2 linked regions of the Elephas maximus indicus genome follow. The protein of the gene in region 1 purifies or fractionates together with the protein of each later gene. This does not show direct contact. Links are inferred from orthologs where the notes say so. Each region holds a gene or a part of one and is shown on either strand. Other genes may lie near its edges.

The links. Proteins that work in one complex are often made in the same cells at the same time.
Region 2: the proteins of TOP1 (region 1) and cyclin-dependent kinase inhibitor 2A-like purify together in Homo sapiens (affinity purification with western blotting; 3 studies listed by BioGRID). This does not show direct contact. The link is inferred for Elephas maximus indicus from reciprocal best matches to the Homo sapiens genes TOP1 and CDKN2A.

Annotation. Positions count from the first base shown.
Region 1 is NC_064843.1:28,408,118-28,418,206, forward strand, and holds the start of TOP1 (DNA topoisomerase 1), read right to left. Parts: upstream 5,684-10,089; 5' UTR 5,409-5,683; coding exon 5,376-5,408; intron 5,050-5,375; coding exon 5,025-5,049; intron 1-5,024. UniProt on the Homo sapiens protein: Releases the supercoiling and torsional tension of DNA introduced during the DNA replication and transcription by transiently cleaving and rejoining one strand of the DNA duplex.
Region 2 is NC_064827.1:31,840,672-31,850,760, reverse strand, and holds the start of cyclin-dependent kinase inhibitor 2A-like, read left to right. Parts: upstream 1-3,724; 5' UTR 3,725-3,749; coding exon 3,750-3,875; intron 3,876-7,729; coding exon 7,730-8,036; intron 8,037-10,084; coding exon 10,085-10,089. UniProt on the Homo sapiens protein: Acts as a negative regulator of the proliferation of normal cells by interacting strongly with CDK4 and CDK6. This inhibits their ability to interact with cyclins D and to phosphorylate the retinoblastoma protein.

The DNA of each region.
Region 1 (10,089 bases):
TCTCCACGGTACCGAGGCCCTAGCCTAGGCTATCAACAGCGGGCACACCGCCTGCACCTACTCAGACCAAGCGGGGGAGGAGAAAGGGCCAGCAAAATGCTAATTTTTCCATGCCAACAGCCTCTATTTTAGATTTCCTACTACAGTTACTGGCTTGGAGCCATGAGGACGGAAAACTGCTTCTCTAACTGCAAATTTACAAGGCAAGGAAACAGGGAGAAAACACTTGTTCCAAATATTACTACTTCAAGTTTAAATACAATCTGAAAGCTTTCTTTTAACACAATACCCCACTTCTTCAGGGGCAAGCCTGGAACTTGGCCCATCCTAAACCTTTCACCTTAAGAAATCAAATTCCGTTTGCCCAAATGCCCTTATTATGCAAAACTAATGGTTTCAAAATAATAAAGGGACAGTCAAATAATCTAAATCACAGGACACAGAAAATTCACTAAAGTGACTCTTGTCTACCTCCAAATGCAACAAATTGACTATACTTTACTGTTCCTTATTTCTTTCAGGGCCCCCCCCCACCCCGCCAAATACTCCTTTGAAGCATTCCTATAGCCACATTCAAAAGAAAATAATTACATGTAAATTCATTTATCAAAGGGAATTTGAACTTTACTGACTGTACGTATGGCAAAAGTTATTAAACATCTGTAAAATACATACGCACTCACACGTCAGTATCATCTGAAGGCTCCAAAAATTAAAAACACCCAGAAAGTACAAAATAATTTCGCATCCTATTAGCGGCAGCAGAGAACCATTATTGTAAGTGATATGTAACATGTATAAAGTTTTTCTAACACATTTACAGGCTCAAAAGTCAGACATTTTTATGCATCACCCTCCCCTCCCACCCCATTGAAAACAAACAAAAACTGTCAGTTAATACCACAGCCCAATTTTGGAATATAAGCTTTAAAATGTTAGTTAAAATAAACCCTGGCACTCATATAGACGGGTACTAATTTACTATGCCCCAGGGCAAATTAATGAATCTCTCTTTCAAATACAATTCCCCATTTTTACGCTGACAGTGAGGAAAAAAAGTCAGACTCAACCTCCCCTCCTCCCCGCTACTATTGGTTAAAATGAGATTAGGGTACTGACCCTGGGTTCCTATTTTCCATTTTACCTTACCCACTGACCAAAGAAAATTAGGAGTTGGTGACAGTAATATCTAGTTTTCACCTTTCAGACCACGAGGTACTTCTGATTCCTTTGGAGTAACTCCTGGACTTGGTTTTACCAGAAGATCTTAGTCTAAAATTTGTTTGTGAGATCTGAGAGAACTTTGAGATCTGCTAGTCATCTAAAAAGCACGTATTGACAGGTAATCGTGTTTCACTGCAAAGTATAATATATTCTACAGCAGCTCACTAATCCTGAAAAGGTGCCCCAAGGAATCTGGCTGCAGTGGAAGGAAAAGACAACAGTGAAGCCGAACGCTTAAATGTTTCTGGACTGGGTCTGAAGATGTGCCACATTTCTTCGGGAGGTGCCATCGCTCTTCAGTTTTAAAAATATGATAGGAATTTTCAAATCACATCATCAGCCTTCCCACCCTCAACCTGTGCCCAACAGCACAAAAGTACAACTACCTGTTAGCATCAGAAACAATTCATACTTAGTCCACTCATCGAATTTAAATCCATCAAGCTAACTAGAACCAACACAAGATGTCAAACCATGAACCAGTAACACTTCCTGGAATAATCACTGAGGAAGTGAAGGATTCACTCATACCAGTGAATCAACATATTACTGATGAGCAGTGCTGGGGGGCAGGGAGCTCCCCAACTTCAAGTCCTGGAAACAACAAAAGGATCACTAACACCCAGCCTGATGTTACCACTACCAACTCTACAGATACACCAAGCAGCCTATACTTATTGTAATCGTGCCTTTAGACCCACTACAGTTAGTGCTACCAACACTTACAAAGGAAGTCTTTTCATCTAGGTAAGAGAGAAGTTACAGCTCTGCTCCTGAAATTCCCAGCTCACTCTCAGTATTACAAATATATTTCACAAAAAGCAGATTTTCCCAGCAGTTGAGTATGGGCCAGAATGTTCTAAATTCCATATTAACTGCAACTAACTACATACTATTGTAAAGTATAGGCTCCAAAGGAAAAACAAGTCTCTTAGACTTAAGGGGCTGAGGGCAGGCAAGATAAAGGATGTTTGATTTTAATACATGAACTTGCACATTTAACCTGTAATACGGGCTACGCCCACTCAAAATCATGCTTAAGCAAACTCCTCTTAATACAAAAATCAATAATGACATGTCTGAACACAATTAAACATTGATTTTTTTTTTAGAAACTGTCTTATCATAGTTAAATAAATCAATCACTAGTTACCAGTATACAACTTGATAGAGCATGCACACAGTTACTAACACATCTTTCTTCTAGATAATATTCAAAAAGATAATTACTCCAGGAATAACATTCTTCTGAGGAGAAAGTAAAGACAGTGAAAGTGTTTCTTCTCTTGAAGGAACACATTTAGCTAAAAAATAAGCAAATGACAAAGTACCAAATCCTTCCCTTTTTTTCTTTTAGACCCCTTTAAGTAAAGATGTGCAGCTTTTAATTTCTTCATACTAGAACCAGTTCTACAGTACAGTGGCTAAACTCACGGGCTTTGGAGTTCACAACTTGCTGCCCTTGGGCAAGCTAGTAAACATACCTAAGCCTCACCTTCCTCATCTATAATATGTAGGTAAATAGTACCTAACTCATAAAGATTCTTCCAAGGATTAAACCAGATAATGCATGGAAAGAGCTGAGAATTGTATCTGACAGATAGTAACTGTTCAATAAATATTAGCTATTACTGCTATTACATGTGTACATATGCTTTCCGAAAGTCTACATGGCCAGTTCATTCCATTCTCTATAAAAACGGCAGTAAGGATCAAAAACCTTTCCAGCCCACTAATGCTCTACATATTCAATAGTTCCTTCGTAGAATTTAGGTTAAGAACTATGGAGGTTCACTTACTCATGAGGATAAAGGGCTGGCTGTTTTTCATTACTAAATACACTACCTACTCAGCCCCGCCTGAAAAGTCACAAGCGTACTTTATTAATTTATTAAAATGCTACCTTTCTCCACGGGAGGTCAAAAGGACTTCCTACATCCTCACCTGCCACATTCTTTCTTTGCTCCCACATCCCAAAGAAACATGCCTTGGGACTGTCTGGACTGCAGGGGCCCTATCTCCTCCCTCTTTTAAAAACCTGACAGGTTGGCTAAACGGGTAGTTAAGAAACACTCCAACCACTGACAATTCTCTCAGGACCTAGTCTCGCACAAGACCCAGCTCAGACATCACCTCCTCCAAAATTTCCCCACCCCCTGACAAAATTAAGTCCCCTATGCTCCCAACACCTTTTGAGTGTAAATATGCCCCAGCACCTACCTTATAATTAACTATTTATGTCTCCTCCAATAGACTGAATTATATGAATTATGTGAAGGCAAGAGTAGTGTTGTGGTGGAAGAAGGTTCAGCTCTAACACTAAGCACAGGGCTTAGCACATATCAGATGCTCAAGAAATGCTACACTTCAACTGGATTCTCTCCTAGTGGAGTGCCATCTCTTGCTGGATGCTCTGCTTCAAATTCTGAACGTAAGACTGCTCTCAGAAGAGCAGGCTGACATGATGGACTGCACTGCTTATTACAACATCAGAAAACCTCTTCATCAGCTTCTCCCATTGGAGAGGTTCCCGGAACCCAAACTCAACTAAGCAGGATTATGTACCATCAGAATCAGTGGGAATTCCCAGCACACTACAAAGGAATACTATCTTCTCCTTCGAAAGGATTGTTGGAATGCCTGCAAGGGTGAGCTTTTTTATTGGAGAATCTACGCTGGGTAACTGAAGAAATACTTGAAAAATAAATGTCTTAATTTGGCTGCAAAGAGTTCAAAAACATGAAAGTCTGGGAAAAGCAAGCTGGCTCTTGGTATCTGGAAACCAGTGGGTTCTGAAAAATGAACAAGAAGCAGGGGTAGGTGCTGGCCACTTTTTCTTCCGATAAATAAAATCTTTTCCTTCCCCACAGTCCAAATGAAAAGGCCCATACACCAGGTCCAGATGAGATGCTCAGTAACCTTTCCTCATAACAAGTACACTAAACTACATTTCTAGGAAAAACTGCCTTAGGAACCTCAGTCACAGTGAAAAGTTCCAGACCCGAATGCTCTAATTTTTTCAAAAAATCAACATGCCAGAGTCCAACATTTACACTGGGTGGCCTAGAGAGAACTTGCAAACTTTTTGAAGGGAGCTACTACTACCTTTACAACAAACAAAATCTTGAAATATGAAGAATTCCACAAAGAGCAGCGTTAGTTTCAGCGCCATAATTCCTATCATAAACATCTTACCGAAAAAAAAAAAAAAATCAACAGTTGCGAAGGGAATCTTTCATTCTGGAAACAGAAAGGGAACAAACAAGCCGCAGAAAGGGAACACCAAAATAAAGTTCTAACTGGAAAAAAATAATAATAATTCCATCTCCCACCCTTCCTTCCCTAGTGGGGTCTGTGATTTATAAGGCTTTGCTCTGCAGAAAGCTCTTTCTGGGCAGCCCAAGGAAGGAGCCGAGGGAGGGAGAGAAAGAGACACAGGCACAGAAAGGAGAGGAGAGAGAAAAAGAAAATGGCGCAGAGACTAAGTCCCGACCGTCGACAAGGCGACTTTCCCGGGAGGAATCCGGGCCCGGAGAAGCTCCCCGACGCCGGGCGACGGGCGATACGGGGTCTCCGTTACCCCCTCTTCGGAGGCCCGCGATCTGGGGGGGCTTGGGTCCCTGGAAAGGGGGTCCAGAGGCGGCCCGATGGGAACAATGGGGCCGGTGAGCTCGGAGCCGGGACTTAGTCTCTGGGACGCCATGTCTGTCCTCTGCCCGGCTCGGGCCGGGCGCGGGGTAGCCGGCCGGCAGCTGGGGGCCCAGGGTCGGGGCAGGGTCGAGGGGCTGGGGCACACTCACCATTCAATCGGAAATCCGCTTCGATCTGGAGAAAGAAAAGGAGGAAATATGAAACGACAGGCAAGTTGATCCCCCCACTCCGGGCGGCGAACGCGCGCGGCCGGGGGCTTAGCCCCCCGTGCCGCCCGGGACGATGGGGCCCCGGGAACGGCCTACGAGGGCAGCCATCCCCCCTGAACTGTAACTTCACGGCTTCCACCCGCGGCCTAGCCAGCCAATCTCCCCCGGCAGGCGGCCCCTCGCCGGGGACTCCGGCCTGTCAAAGCGGCCGAGCCGTGTCGGGGCCTGTGCCGGGGGTCGCGGGAGGGCCAGGCGGCGTCTGGGGGCCGCGAGGCTCGGGCCGGGCCGTACCTGGGAATCGTTGTGGAGATGGTCCCCACTCATGTCGGCCGGAGCGGCGAGCGCGGCAGGCGGCGAGGGGTGCGGAGGAGACGCAGGCGGTCAGGACCGGCTGTGCTGACAGACGGGGGGCTCGCGGAAGCTCCCGGAGGCTCCCAGAGGCGCGGATAAGCAGCGACAGCGGCGGGCCTGAGACTCCCGGAACCGCTGAGGCGGCGACAGCGGCAACGAAGCTGACTGACTGCCGGGCAGGCGGCGAGAGCAGACCCCAGCAGTTGTGTAACAGTCTAAGTTCGCATTTCGGCTCACTGCGCCTGCGCGGCCGCTTTTAAACGGGACGTCCGCGACGTCAGGGACTCGCGGAAAGAGGCCGAGGGTTGTAGGGCCCGCCCCTCGCGATTCGAAAGGCGGACCCGGCTCGGAATCGCAAGCCACGCCTCTAGTCCTCGCGCGGCGCTGTGATTTGCATATGGAGCCGGCTCCTCCCATGGCCGCCCACCCAGCGCTATCTTCCTTTCCTCACCCGGCGCCTTTTCTCGGAACCCCGGATCCCCCCACCCCACCCGTTAGGCAGTGCGCAGGCGCCGCGGGGGCTCCGCCTCCGGACCCGGGCTGGCGCAGCGGCCACGTGGTGGGCCTTTAAAGGCCGCGGCGGGACCCGGCCAGGCCGAGCTGGTAGCCCGCTCCGGCGTTTCTTTGGAGCCTGGGAAGCGCGGAGCTGCGAATCCTTTGGCGGTGCGTGATCCAGAGCTCGCACCGGCGCCAGCTTGCTCGATAACCTAATCCTGAGGCGTCTGGCGGGAGGACCTCCTTAGCCTTTGTCCAAGGTTTCCAACTTGTGGATTATTTCACGCCCACTTTTTTTTTTTTTTATAACTTTTATTAAGCTTCAAGTGAACGTTTACAAATCCAATCAGTCTGTCACATATAAGTTTACATACATCTCACTCCCTACTCCCACTTGCTCTCCCCCTCTTGAGTCAGCCCTTTCAGTCTCTCCTTTCTTGACAATTTTGCCAGCTTCCCTCTCTCTCTATCCTCCCATCCCCCCTCCAGACAAGAGTTGCCAACACAATCTCAAGTGTCCACCTGATATAATTAGCTTACTCTTCATCAGCGTCTCTCTCCCACCCGCTGACCAGTCCCTTTCATGTCTGATGAGTTGTCTTCGGGGATGGTTCCTGTCCTGTGCCAACAGAAGGTCTGGGGAGCATGGCCGCCGGGATTCCCTTTTTATGAGAATTTGGGGTCTGCATCCCACTGATCTCCTGCTCCCTCAGGGGTCCTCTGCTGTGCTCCCTGTCAGGGCAGTCATCGATTGTGGCCGGGCACCAACTAGTTCTTCTGGTCTCAGGATGATGTAGGTCTCTGGTTCATGTGGCCCTTTCTGTCTCTTGGGCTCTTAGTTGTTGTGTGGCCTTGGTGTTCTTCATTTTCCTTTGCTCCAGGTGGGTTGAGACCAATTGATGCATCTTAGATGGCCGCTTGTTAGCATTTAAGACCCCAGACGCCACATTTCAAAGTGGGATGCAGAATGATTTCATAATAGAATTATTTTGCCAATTGACTTAGAAGTCCCCGCAAACCATGTTCCCCAGACCCTTGCGCTTGCTCCGCTGACCTTTGAAGCATTCATTTTATCCCGGAAACTTCTTTGCTTTTGGTCCAGTCCAATTGAGCTGACCTTCCATGTATTGAGTGTTGTCTTTCCCTTCACCTAAAGCAGTTCTTATCTACTGATTAATCAATAAAAAACCCTCTCCCACCCTCCCTCCCTCCCCCCCTCGTAACCACAAAAGTATGTGTTCTTCTCAGGTTTACTATTTCTCAAGATTTTATAATAGTGGTCTTATACAATATTTGTCCTTTTGCCTCTGACTAATTTCGCTCAGCATAATGCCTTCCAGGTTCCTCCATGTTATGAAATGTTTCACAGATTCGTCACTGTTCTTTATCGATGCATAGTATTCCATTGTGTGAATATACCACAATTTATTTACCCATTCATCCGTTGATGGACACCTTGGTTGCTTCCAACTTTTTGCTATTGTAAATCACGCCCACTTTTTAAAAAATTATTTTAATTTGTCGGTCAGCCAAGAGTCTGGTTTAGCCTCAGTTTTCAGCCGAGCACATGTACCCTGAGACACAAGGGGCCTATTTTCATTCCTCCCATCTTACAAATACTGAGCATCTATGAGTCAGGAAACGTGCTAAGGTAGAGGGTGGCGCAAGGGGCCAAAGGGGCAGGACCTGGAGCTAAACAGGTCCTGGCTCTGACCACCGCTGAATCCGCAGTAAGCTGTTAGGATCGTGAGTAGGGTAAAGGACTAATGTCTGTGGAGCATGTACCGCATACCCTGCGCTGAATTCTCAGAATAGCTCCGTGAGGTCGCCTGTTTACAAAAGTCAAACTGTCTCAAAGATAAGTGGCCTCCACAACCACCTACCTGACGTCTGCGCTGGGATACCTCACGAGCTGTTCATCCGTTTCCACTCAGCTGGAAAAGCCCCACCCTAGGCATCTTCCTCTCCCTCGTTCTCATTAGTCCAGAGACTCTTCAGTCCATCTCCTTTTTCCCTCTTGCCTGCACACATGCTGTCCCGGTTTACGTTATCTCTTGCTTGGATTATGACAATATGCTCTTAACAGGGCTCCCAGCCTCCCTTCTGGCTCTGCTCTCTAGCAAACTGTTCTCTAATAGAAGCCAAAGTGAGCTTTTCAGCACACGAATCTAATCATGATTTCCTTCCCACACTTCCCATCTCTATTTTTTTAGTAATTCATTTTATTTTTTTTGTTGAGCATGTACACAGCAGAACATATACTAATTCAACAATTTCTACATGTACAATTCAGTGACATTGATTATATTCTTTGAGTTGTGTAAACATCCTCACCCTCCTTTTCTGAGATGTTCCTCCCCCACTAACATAAACTCACTGTCTCCTAAGTTTCTGATCTAATCTTTTGTGTTACTGTTGTTAATTTGATCCCACATAGATAGATCTTAGAAGAGCACAATGCTCAAGGCAGACATCCTTTACTAGTTAAATTAAACTATATTTTGGTTTTAAGAAGACTTCAGGGGATGTTTTTGGCTTAAGGTTTAAAGATTATTTTAGGGCAGTAGTTTCAAGGTTCAGCCAGCCTCCAAGGCTCCAGAAAGTCTGGAGTCCATGAGAATTTGAGATTCTGTTCTATATTTTCCCCCTTCTGATCAGGATTCTTCTAGAGAATCTTTGATCAAAATGTTCAGTAGTGGTAGCCAGACACCATCTAGCTCTGGTCTCATGGTAAGGGAGGCAGTTCTTCATGGAGGTACTTCCCATCACCCTTAAAGTTCAAAGGTTCTGCTGTTGTTAGGTATCCTCAAGTTTGTTCCAACTTATAGCGACACTTTGCACAACAGAACGAAACACTGCCTGGTTCCGCACCGTCCTTACACTTGTAGTTATGCTTGAGCCCATTGTTGCAGTCACTATGTCAATCCATCTCGTTGAGGGTCTTCCTCTTTTTCACTGATCCTCTATTTTACCAAGCATGACATCTTTTTCCAGGGACTGATCCCTCCTCATAATATGTCCAAAGTACATAAGACATAGTTTTGCCATCCTTGCTTCTAAGAAGCATTCTGGATGCACTTCTTCCAAGACAGACTTTGTCATTCTTTTGGCAGTCCATGGTATATTCGATATTCTTCACCAATACCACGATTCAAAGGCATCAATTCTTCTTTGGTCTTCCTTATTCATCGTCTGGCTTTCGCATGCATATGAGACGATCGAAAACATAGTGGCTTGGGTCAGGCACACCTTATTCCTCAAGGTGACATCTTTGCTTTCCAACACTTTAAAGAGGTCTTTTGCAGCCTATTTGCCCAGTGCAATCCGTCTTTTGATTTCTTGACTGCTGCTTCCATGCGTGTTGATTGTGGATCCAAGTAAAATGAAATCCTTGACAACCTCAGTATTTTCTCCATTTATCATGATGTTGCTTATTTGTCCAGTTGTGAGGATTTTTGTTTTCTTTTTGTTGAGATGTAATCCACAGTGAAGGCTGTGGCCTTTAATCTTCATCAGTAAGTGCTTCAAGTCTTCTTCACTTTCAGCAAGCAAGGTTGTGTCATCTGCATAACACAGGTTGTTAATGAGTCTTTCTCCAATCCTGATGTCCCATTCTTCTTCATATAGTCCAGCTTCTTGGATTCTTTGTTCAGCATACAGACTGAATAGGTATCGTGAAATGATACAGCCCTTACTCACACCTTTCCTGACTTTAAACTATGCAGTATCCCCTTGTTCTGTTCCAGTGGCTACTCTTGATCGATGTACAGATTCCTCATGAGCACAATTAAGTGTTCCAGAATTCCCATTCTCCTCAATGTTATCCATAATTTGTTATGATCCACACAGTTGAATGTCTTTGCATAGTCAATAAAACACAGATAAACATCTTTCTGGTAGTCTCTGCTTTCAGCCAGGATCCATCTGACATCAGCAATGATATCCCTGGTTCCATGTCCTCTTCTAATACAGCTTGAATTTCTGGTCAATCCATCTCGATGAGGGCCTACCTCTTTTTCGCTGACCCTCTGCTTTACCAAGCGTGATGTCCTTTTCCAGGGACTGGTCCCACAAAGGTCATACATGAATGAAGTAGGTTAAAGGCCCTGTGTAACCTGCTTAATTCATGTATGACCTTTGTGGGTTTTGCCATATCCAT
Region 2 (10,089 bases), on another chromosome or scaffold:
ATGTTCCTTCATTGTATGTGTGTCCTCAGGTCTCTTCCACCTTCCATCTGCTTCCCTTCACCGTATATCACCTTGAGCTTTGACGGCCAAACTATGAAAGAATAGTCTACACCAGGTGTCCCCACTTCCTTGCTGTCACATTCACTCCTGGATTTCCTTCTGACTCTGAGTAGCCCTTGTCAGCTTCTTTTGCAGAAGCTTCTTTTTCCAGCTTCTCACTGTATATTCCAGTGAATTACGTCCAGTTTTCCTAAACTTCTATGCCTTTGCATCTGTTCTTGCCTCTGCCAGGAACATCTTTCTCCATCTTTCCTTTCCATCTTTACACTCCCATGCTTTTCTTCAAGTTGGGGTTAGCTCTCATACTGTCCAGGAAGCCTTTCACCTAAGCCACCAGGATGAATTTGGCTCCCTTTTCATTTTCTTGTGTCACCCTCTGCTTCCCTTTGCTCTTGTAAGTGCTTTACATATTATGTCCCATTTAATTCACACAACCACCATTTGAGGCAAGCATGATTATCATCCCCATTTTAGAGATGAGGATACTGAGCACCAAAGACATTAAATAATTTGTTCAGTTAGAAAACTAATAGGTGGAAATATCTAGGTTTAAATCTAGGCAATTTGACTGTAGGGTTGAATTTAACCACCTATGCTCTACTGTTAGCCTCTGAGCTTGTTGGATGAATAAATAAGTAGTAATTTATGTTCTATTTTTTTCTTAAAAGACTGATCAGATTTGAGACAGGTTTAAATTTCATAATATAGATTTTCAAGACTGCCAAGACAGCAGAAATGGAGACCATGGCATTCTCAGGGAAGAGGAGAGGTAAGTGTAAGGTTAATAATAATAACAAACTTTAGAACTTAGAAAGCTCTTTGACATCTATCATCTTGTTCCATGCACCCAAGAAATATATCATGATCCCATTTTACAGATAAGAAATCTGAGGCTGGCAGAACCAGCACCAAGATCCCTGGCTTTATAGTTTATTTCTTCTGGAGTTTTACCCCTCAGGTCTGAACTGATATGAGTAAGTAAACTGGGAGTATGGAAGGTTTTTTAAGGAAAAAAAAAACTGGAAGAGCTTTCACAGTATTATTATTTATTTACACAGATTTATGATAGATACAGGACCAATTTCCAGAAAAGGGCCACACCCAAGAATGCCACAGTCTTTCAGGAGCTCCGATGCAAGTGCCTGAGCTAGTGAACACACATCTAAAACCTGCTGTTGGTATTTCCAAAGCATCAACCTCTATGTCTGTATATAATTCATCCAAGAAATATTTTTGTGTTTCCATCTCATGCTTCCTTCTCCAATACATTGCCTTCTCACAAGAGCTAAAGGGATTCTTGACGTGGCAGTCCATAGTTGAGTTTTAGATGAATACCTGAATTCCCTGAAAGTTTTATTCAGAAATATACTTGCCAGTGAACACACTTGGTTTGAGGTTGGTTGGTTTTCATTGCATACTTTATTTATTTTTTTGAGGATAATGTCTGTAGCTTTCAAGAGATTCTCAAACGGAAGATTAAGAACCATTATATTAGTGATGGAAGCAAATTTTGATATTGGTCTAAAAGCCAGGCATAATTACAAGGGAAATCTGTTCCATCTCTCCCATCACAGCCATATTGCCCCCCTCCCATCATAAAATGTAAAAGGAGCCCTGGTGGCACAGTGCTTAATCACTCAGCTGCTAACCAAAGATGTGGCAGTCTGCTTTGGTAAAGATTCACAGCCTTGGGAATTCTGGCAGTTCTCATAGTCACTATAAGTCAGAATCCACTTGACCGCAACAGGTTTTACCATAAAAAGTCTTAAGCTAACTTAAAAAGAATATTAGATTCCTTATCCATAGTTTGAATTGTTCAAACCATTGCTGCCCAGTATTTGAGAGGTGCCTGGAGGAAAATATAGAAGGCACAGTAGTAATACGTTATGGATTCTTATAAGAGATTTGACAATAAATGTTTAATTGGCATAATTTAAAAACTACATTTTGCCTGACCTAGCAACAACTGAAGGTACAGCAAGGTATTCTGGGGCTTAAGATAAGTCAGCTAAGGATTAAAACGTTAACTTTTAGACAGAGCCGGGTTACCTAGTAGTCAGACTCAGTATGTGCTCAAGGCACCAGCAGGTAACCCATACAATTTTTAAATGTAATATATATATTTTTAAGAGCATAAAAGTAATAATCACGGGAAAAATTAGAACTCTGTTGGATTTCCTTTCGCTTACTAAATTCCTTAGATGCACCATCATGTTTTCTGTGATTAAGGTCTTCTTGGTCTTCCTTCTCTTTTATATAATATTGATAATTCTATCCAAAATATTTTCTTCTCTCTGCCTCAGGAGATTGCAAGCAAATCCTCCAAATGGATAATTTGATAGCTAGCAGGTATTGTGTGCTTGGGATGTGTATCACTGTTCCAAATGCTATATGTAAATCAGGACATTAAAAATTCACAACAGCCCTGTGAAGTAAGTACTACTCTAAGTTCCCCTTTTTATAGCTAAGAAAAGGGCAAGGTATTTCTAGGAGGAAGGAGAGGTGTGGGACGCTGGAAGCAGACCCAGGAGGGGCCCCAGTACAGTGTATCTGAGCCTGTACCGTGATGCACTGTGTCAGTCTCTAGACAGCTGAGCACTTTCTCTGGTCTAGAAGGAACGCCTTATTAAGAATGGGGTCTGTCACCCGAATGACTTCCTCTCCACTTTCCTATCTGCTTATAGGTGGGACTCTTTCCAGTCCGTGTTAAATAGACCCTACCTTCAGAGCCAGCCCTAACTGGCATATCCTGTTCGTATATCTGGCGCTAGTAGGAGGCTTTGCTCACCTCTTGGAAACCCTCGCCCCAGCCACGTGGGTGGGGAGAGGGGAGCAGGCAACCGTTAGACTCTGAAAAAGGAATCTTTGAAGTACGTTTTCTGGAACCATAGGCTCAGAACGCTTAACCCAGGGAGTATCTGGGGAAGAGGGAGGTGTGATTCGGTGATCTAAAAGAAGGGTCGCCTCAGAGTCACAACACCGGGATTACCGATCCTCAGTGAGGCCCTTATTACGAGGAGAGGACAGCTTTGGCCAATTCATCCGAGTACTTACTATAGGGAGGAAGCAATACTTTGCCTATGATATCGAACGCTCAGGTTCGAGCTTGACAGTCAGAAATCCCTGCCCAGCTATCTAAATACTAGGAGAGTGTAGAGAGAAGGGAGGAACCTGGGAGAAATTCCGTTTAGCTTTAGTAGAGGGAACTCGCTTAGAGACTCCTGTGCTCTTCCGTTGGATCGGGGGAGGGGACAGCACCGTGAGGGTGGGGCGACAGGAGGACGGGGGCGGTAGGGGGGCGAGGAGGGGCGCAGGGCTCCCAGCTCCGGCGGCGTCCGCGTGCTCCGGGAGTGGACCGCTTCCGGGCAGGTCTCGCTTCTCGGGGAGCCGAAGGCCGTGCGGCCAGCCGCCGCGTGGGGCGACCTCGGGGCACCTCCGTGGCGTGCTCTAGTGTCCTTGGAGGACACCACGTGATCGGCGCCCCTAGAAGTGGAAAGACGCGGTGGCCCCGCCGGAGGGGTGGGGAGACCGATTCAGGGGGCCGCGGCGCGGGGGCTCGGGCAGCCGGTTTCCGCCCGCCCGGCGGAGGGAAGCGAGGGGCGGGCCAGTCACGAGAGGGCGGGCCGGGCGCTAGGCGGCGGCGGGAGGAAGGGGACGAGGGGACAAGGGAGCGAGGCGCGGGGAGCGGCATGGAGCCCACCGCCGACTCGCTGGCCACGGCGGCCGCCCGAGGCCGGGCCCGGGAGGTGCGGGCGCTGCTGCGGGCGGGGGCGCAGCCTAACGCGCCGAACCGCTACGGGCGCCGCCCGATCCAGGTAGGTAGCAGGTCCCGAGCGGGAGAAGGTGATGGCGGGCTGCTCGGGAGGACGACGGTTGCAGGGGAATGGGAACCGGGTGGCGTTTGGATTCTCGGAAAAGGGGCGATTTCCCGGGACGTTTTCAGAAAAGATTTTGGGGTCGGAGACCTCGTGACGACGCCCCGGGGCCTCGGGAAGCCCCGGAGGGAAGGAGGGGGCACTTGGGGTGCACATCTCTGGAGTGGTGTGACTATAAGAATCTGGCGGGGGGAACATATACATGTGTGTTCATATAAAAAAAAAAAAAAACCAACCCGTATAGACCGAGGTATATTCCAGATACAGAATCTATGAATGAGATAAAACGCGAGATTTTAAAGAAATGTAAGGTTCACTGGGACTATGTAGCCCCAAACTCACAGACCCCTGAATAAAGCTGATCACCTTCTTTCCTGGAGGGACTCCGCTGGAAACCTACTGGCACGTATGTTGGAATAAATGCCGACTGAAATTATTCAGAAACAACTGCATATCGTGTTGATTTTTATTTTAACTGAGTAGGGGGAAAATGTATTCATGTAAAGAACTTAGGACTGAGTAGGGAAACTGCTCGTTGTAAAAAAAATCTTACGACATCCAGGCCTATATAAAAAAAAAAATGTTTTTTAGTGTGATCTTGCCTAAGACAATATTTCCAATTTAGTTACCATCTTAAGAGTATTTGCTATTATTTTTGTCATTTTAACTTACTTGATATGGATTATTTTACTTGGGAGAGAGTTTTCAATTTTTCACTGCTGGAAGGTTCCATTTTTCTCCTCCCCCTCCCTTGTGTGTGAAGGGGGAGGGGGGACCAGGGAAGGTTGCATGTGTTTTTTCTTCACTAACTTCCTAAATATCATGCCAAAAAGTTAATTCTTGCTGGCGGTTACCAGCCTAATTTTATTCCCAGCGGCAACAACGATCTCTGATTCTGAAAAAGAGAATATGTGAAACAAATGCACATTGTAAAAGCTTCATAAGACAAAGGAAAGTAACTGCGTCAGACTTCATGAGTGAATCTTTCCTTCTTGAACCTATCCTACAAAGGATATATATTTTACACACTTTAAAGTACAGTGCAAAAAAAAAGTACAGATATAAGAATAAAATTAAAAATGCCTTAAAACTTGAGATTTTGGGGTCCTGAAATGGCAAGAGATCTTGAAACTAGAGGGGCTGGATAGTTGTAAAAGATAAGTATGAGTCCTTCAAAAAGAATGTTTGATTCGTAATTTAGCATCTCCAAGATTTTGCCAGCAACCTGGAGACTCGGAGTGATGGCCTTAGAGTCCTGGAATACGTTAGGCGAGACCTCATCTGTTTAGATACAGAAAGGAAAAAGAAAGTTGGATAATTACGATTTTTTTATACGGGGATAAGAACATAGAGAAAGGGGCCAAATGAGTTTGATGTAGAACTTCGACCGAATTGTTTTTTAATACAGAATATGTCATTTATAAAAATTCTTTTAAAACAACTAGATTCCAATAAATTGCTTAGCAAATGGATCTTAAGCATCCTACCAATATCGGTTTAATTGATTTGCCTTTTTTGTTTTTGGATTTTTTTTTTTAATATTTAAATGCCCAGTTGCTTTTCAGTTTTTTTCTTATGTTAAAATATAAGGAAAACATTCAAGACCAGTTTTTTTTTGTAGTCCAATTTATTAGGTTAAATTATTTGTGTAGATTTTTTTTAATAACATTTTATTGTGTTCTAGGTGAAAGCTTACACAGCGAATTAGGTCCTCCTTTAACAATGTTTATACAAATTGTTTCATGATACTGGTTACAATTTTCACAATGTATCAGCATTCACCTTATTTCCATTCTGTTTATTCTGTTTACATTGATCGAACTTCCCTTCCTCTCCTTGCCTTCTCATGTTTGCTTTTCAGTAAATGTTGACTGTTTGGTCTCATATAGTTAATTGTTTAAGGGAGCACATTACTCACAGGTGATATTGTTTATTTCATAAGCCAACCTATTTGACTGAAAGTGACCTGCAGAAATAACTGCATTTCCAACTTCAAAGGGTACCTTAGCCCCTGGGGGAGGGGGGACTCCTCTAGACTCTCCATCCAGTAGGTCCAGCCTTTTTTAAGAATTTGAATTTTGTTCTACATTTTTCCCCTGTTCTATCCAGGACCTTCTATTGTATTCCTGGTCACAATGGTTGGTAGCGTAGCCAGGGACCATTTAGTTCTTCTGGTCTCAGGTCAGAAAAAGCTGTAGTTCATGAGGGCTATTAGTTCTGTGGACTAGTTTCTTCTTTGAGCCTTTGATTCCTTCATTCTCTTTTGCTGCATAGAGGAGAGACCAATCATTTGTTTTTAGATTAAGACCAGTTTTATGACAAATGAATGACTTGATTTGGTTGGGTAAACAAAAACTGTGCTGCAATTTTTTTTTTGTGTGGCTGTAATTTGGTTCACATATATTTTCCCTCGTTCTTTTGAAAACTAAATTGGTTTCCCCACTTTTGGGGCAGAACTCAACACCTATAGTATAATTTATTATTTTTCCTCCCTTTGGGCAAATAAAAATAATTTATTTAATTGATACAAAACATAACTAAGTAATTTCTCTTTATACAGTCAGTATCCCCAAGCAAATATAACCAGATAATGGTTATTCTAAAAAGAATCCTCCACCAGCACCCATAACATGGCATCCCAATTCTAAGGCTGCTAAGGTGCACACCATTTTAAAATTCCCCTTTGGAAATTATTTTGTTTCAAAGATAATTTATGTACCAAAGAGACGAGCAGCTCCTGTAGGAGAGTATATGAGTTTCCCATTGCTGCTGTAACAAATTATCACAAATTTATGAACCAGAGAGAGGGGCAGCTCCTGTAGGAGAGTATGAGTTTCCCATTGCTGCTGTAACAAATTATCACAAACTTAGCAGCTTAAAGCTGCACGAGTTTATTAGCCTGCAGGTCTGGAGATGAGAAGTCTAAAATGGGCTCACAGAACGGTGTTCCTTTTAAATGCTCTAGGGGAGAGTCTGGCTCCTTGCCTTTTCCAGATTCTAGAAGCCCACCTATATTCCTTGGCTTGTAACGCATTCCGCTGTCTTCACAGTTGGCAGTGTAGCATCTGTCTCCTCTCTCATCTCTGCTTCCATCCTTATGTCTTCTGTCAGACTGTGACCCTTTCATAATGACACATCCGTGATGACACTGGGCCCACCTGATAAACCGGGATAATCTCCCCATCTCAAAATCTTTTACTTAATTATATCTGCCAAATTCTTTTTGACATGTAAAGTAATATATTCACAAATTTGGGAATTTGGACACAGACATTTGAGGGGGAAGCATTATTCAGCCTATCACACGAGACAAGCCCTCTCATTTTATACTTACAGTTTGAGCTCACAGCAAAAAATAAGTTCAAATTAAAAAAAAAAGTGTTGACAATTACCACGTTCTGGAAGTGCAGCGGGGAACCAAACAAAATCTCTCTGGTTTAGATAATTTCATCTCAAAATGAGAAAAAAAGACAGAATGGTTAGGCAGTGGTAAAAGCCAGCTTGGCCCTCACCATTTTGTTGTCTCTGCCTCTGGCGGTGTTCTCCTTGGGGCTGGAGCTCCGCAAAAGGTTGGAGAATATAATGCAGTGAAATGTGTATTGACAGGCAGAATGTGTAGAACTGGAAGAGGGGTGGTAACTGGGAGTAAAGAAAGAGTAACCAACACCTGTAACTTCTCCGCGCCTCTGCTTTGGGTGGCTATGATCTCGGGGCTTCGGGGCGTCGTAAATAAGTGTTTCTTTACATTAATCCTGCCCCCGCCGGTCGCCTTGACCGCTCTGCTCTCCCGGCAGGTCATGATGATGGGCAGCGCCCGTGTGGCGGAGCTGCTGCTGCTCCACGGCGCGGAGCCCAACTGCGCGGACCCCGCCACCCTCACCCGACCGGTGCACGACGCCGCGCGGGAGGGCTTCCTGGACACGCTGATGGTGCTGCATCGCGCCGGGGCGCGGCTGGACGTGCGCGACGCCTGGGGCCGCCTGCCCGTGGACCTGGCTGAGGAGCGGGGTCACCGCGACGTCTCCCTGTACCTGCGTGCGGCCGCGGGGGACACCGAAGGCGGCGACCGCGCCCATGGAGACGCCGCAGAGGGCTCAGCAGGTGAGGGCGGATGCCCAGGATCTAAAAATTCGAACCCTCAGAACTTCTGGAGCCCAGCGCGCTTTTCCAGAAGACAAAGTTTGGCCGGGAGGGGCAGGGTCTCGGGTCTCACCTCAGCTCACACACACAGCCAATCTGTGGCACAACCCGGGTTTCCCGGTCACGCCGCCAGGTCAGCGCTGCAGACGGGAAATAGCCATAGGTGGACGTCCGTACTTGAAAACCTTTCTCATGCCTCTCCCCACTCGCACACACATAGACACAACACCACCGCCCAAGCACACACCGCCCTCACCGCAGCTCAAGGCCTAGTCTGTGGAACGTTGACGAGCCAGGAGGCTACAGAGCTAGTGCCCCTCTCCCTCTAAACTAGCTGGTCAGTCTCATCCACTCACCGGGCCTCAGTTATCCCATCCGCATACCTAGGTGGCTGGACCAGTCCCAGGGTTCCCAAACCTATAGCGCGTGGCATCGTCTGCGGGAGATATGTCATGAGCCGGATTCCCGGCCTTTGGCCCAACTCTACCAAATCTGACTTCCGCTCTTTTCGGTGGAGGGTGGAGATGTCCAGCGCTCCCCAGGGCTTCTGAGCCGCAGCTGGGACCGAGCGCTTCCAGCCCTCGCACTCTGCACGCCGACATTTCGCCGCACTCTCCCGGAGGCAGAGACTCCTTTCTCCTTACCTAACCTTCCCTGTTTCTTCGAGAGGCCGCTGAGCCAGGGAGATGGGTATGTGGTCCTCTTTGCCTTCTCTTCTGTGACCACAAGGCCTTTTCCCCACCTCCATCTGCCTTAAGAGCTAACTGGAAGAATTTTTTTTTTTCTTTTGAGGAGGAATAACTTTTTTTAAAATCAAAATACGCATAAATGAAGCGATACTGAAATGTACGTGACTATTTACAGTAGAACATGTCTTTGAAAATAGTGAAATCTGTCCTGCTGGCTCAGAACTCAAGCACGGCGCTCCTTGGGCCTTAGCGGAGCCCCAGAGGACTTCCTTTTTTCCTTCCTTCTCTTTCTCCCCAGCGCCAATTCATTCTTTAGTTAAGACCTAATATCAACCCCGTTCTGCATGCTGGGGATAGAGCGGTGAATGCGACAAAACAGGAATCCTGCCCTCATAGAGCTTACATGCTAGAAAATCGACTTTACGAAAGATAATCTATTTTGACAGAACGAGTTTTTAAAACCAATGTAGTGCATAAAGAATGGAGTCGTGAATAGGAGGGGAGGAAATCTTCGAAGGAGCGCTCAGAGAAACTGAATGGCGGAAAGGGAGCAGCCAAGGGAGGTAGAGAGAGACTCGCAAGTTCAAAGGCTGCTGCGGGAATGAACGTGGTGGGTTAGGAGGACGGCAAGGAGGGCTGGAGCGTGACCCCACCCCATCAGAGCGGAGGCGAGGCCAGATGTTGTAAGGCAAAGCAGTAAGCACGAATTTTGTTTTAGACAAGCTAGGGAGCCATTGGGGAGGGGGGGCGGGGGACTGAAGTGAGAGAGAGATGAGATGCGACTGGGATCGAAGGGTCCCGTTCTGCCGAGCCTGAGGTGGGCACGGGTTATGAGCAAACCACCAAGATCTACACCAGGTGCAAGAGAGGCCTGGGACGCGCAAAGGGCTACGGGACGTCTTCACTTCCCTGAGCCCAGAGTTGTGTCGGGCAAGCACCGGCGCTACTCAGACACTCTAACGCTTTTCTCTCATCACCCGGCGATCCGCGGCCGCGCTCTCCCCGCCTGCGCGGGGACAGGCCCGGAGCGCGCGAGCGGAGGAGGCGCCCGAGGGGCCGCGGGGCCGTAGACGCGCTGCGGGATCCTAGAAGCTCAGCGCCGGGAGGCGGCTGGCAGGTCCTCGACTCGGGGGACAAACTTTGTGCCGAGGGTTGGTGGGTATTGAGAGAAGGGGGTCGTGCAGGCGACCCACTTACCAGAACCTTATCCATGAAAAAAAAAAAAAAAAAAGAGTGCCTGAATATCAGGTGGGGGGGCTGCAAGAAGGGCGGGGGGACGGGCCGCACCTCTTTGACTACTGATGCCTACTTTATTTTCAGTTGTT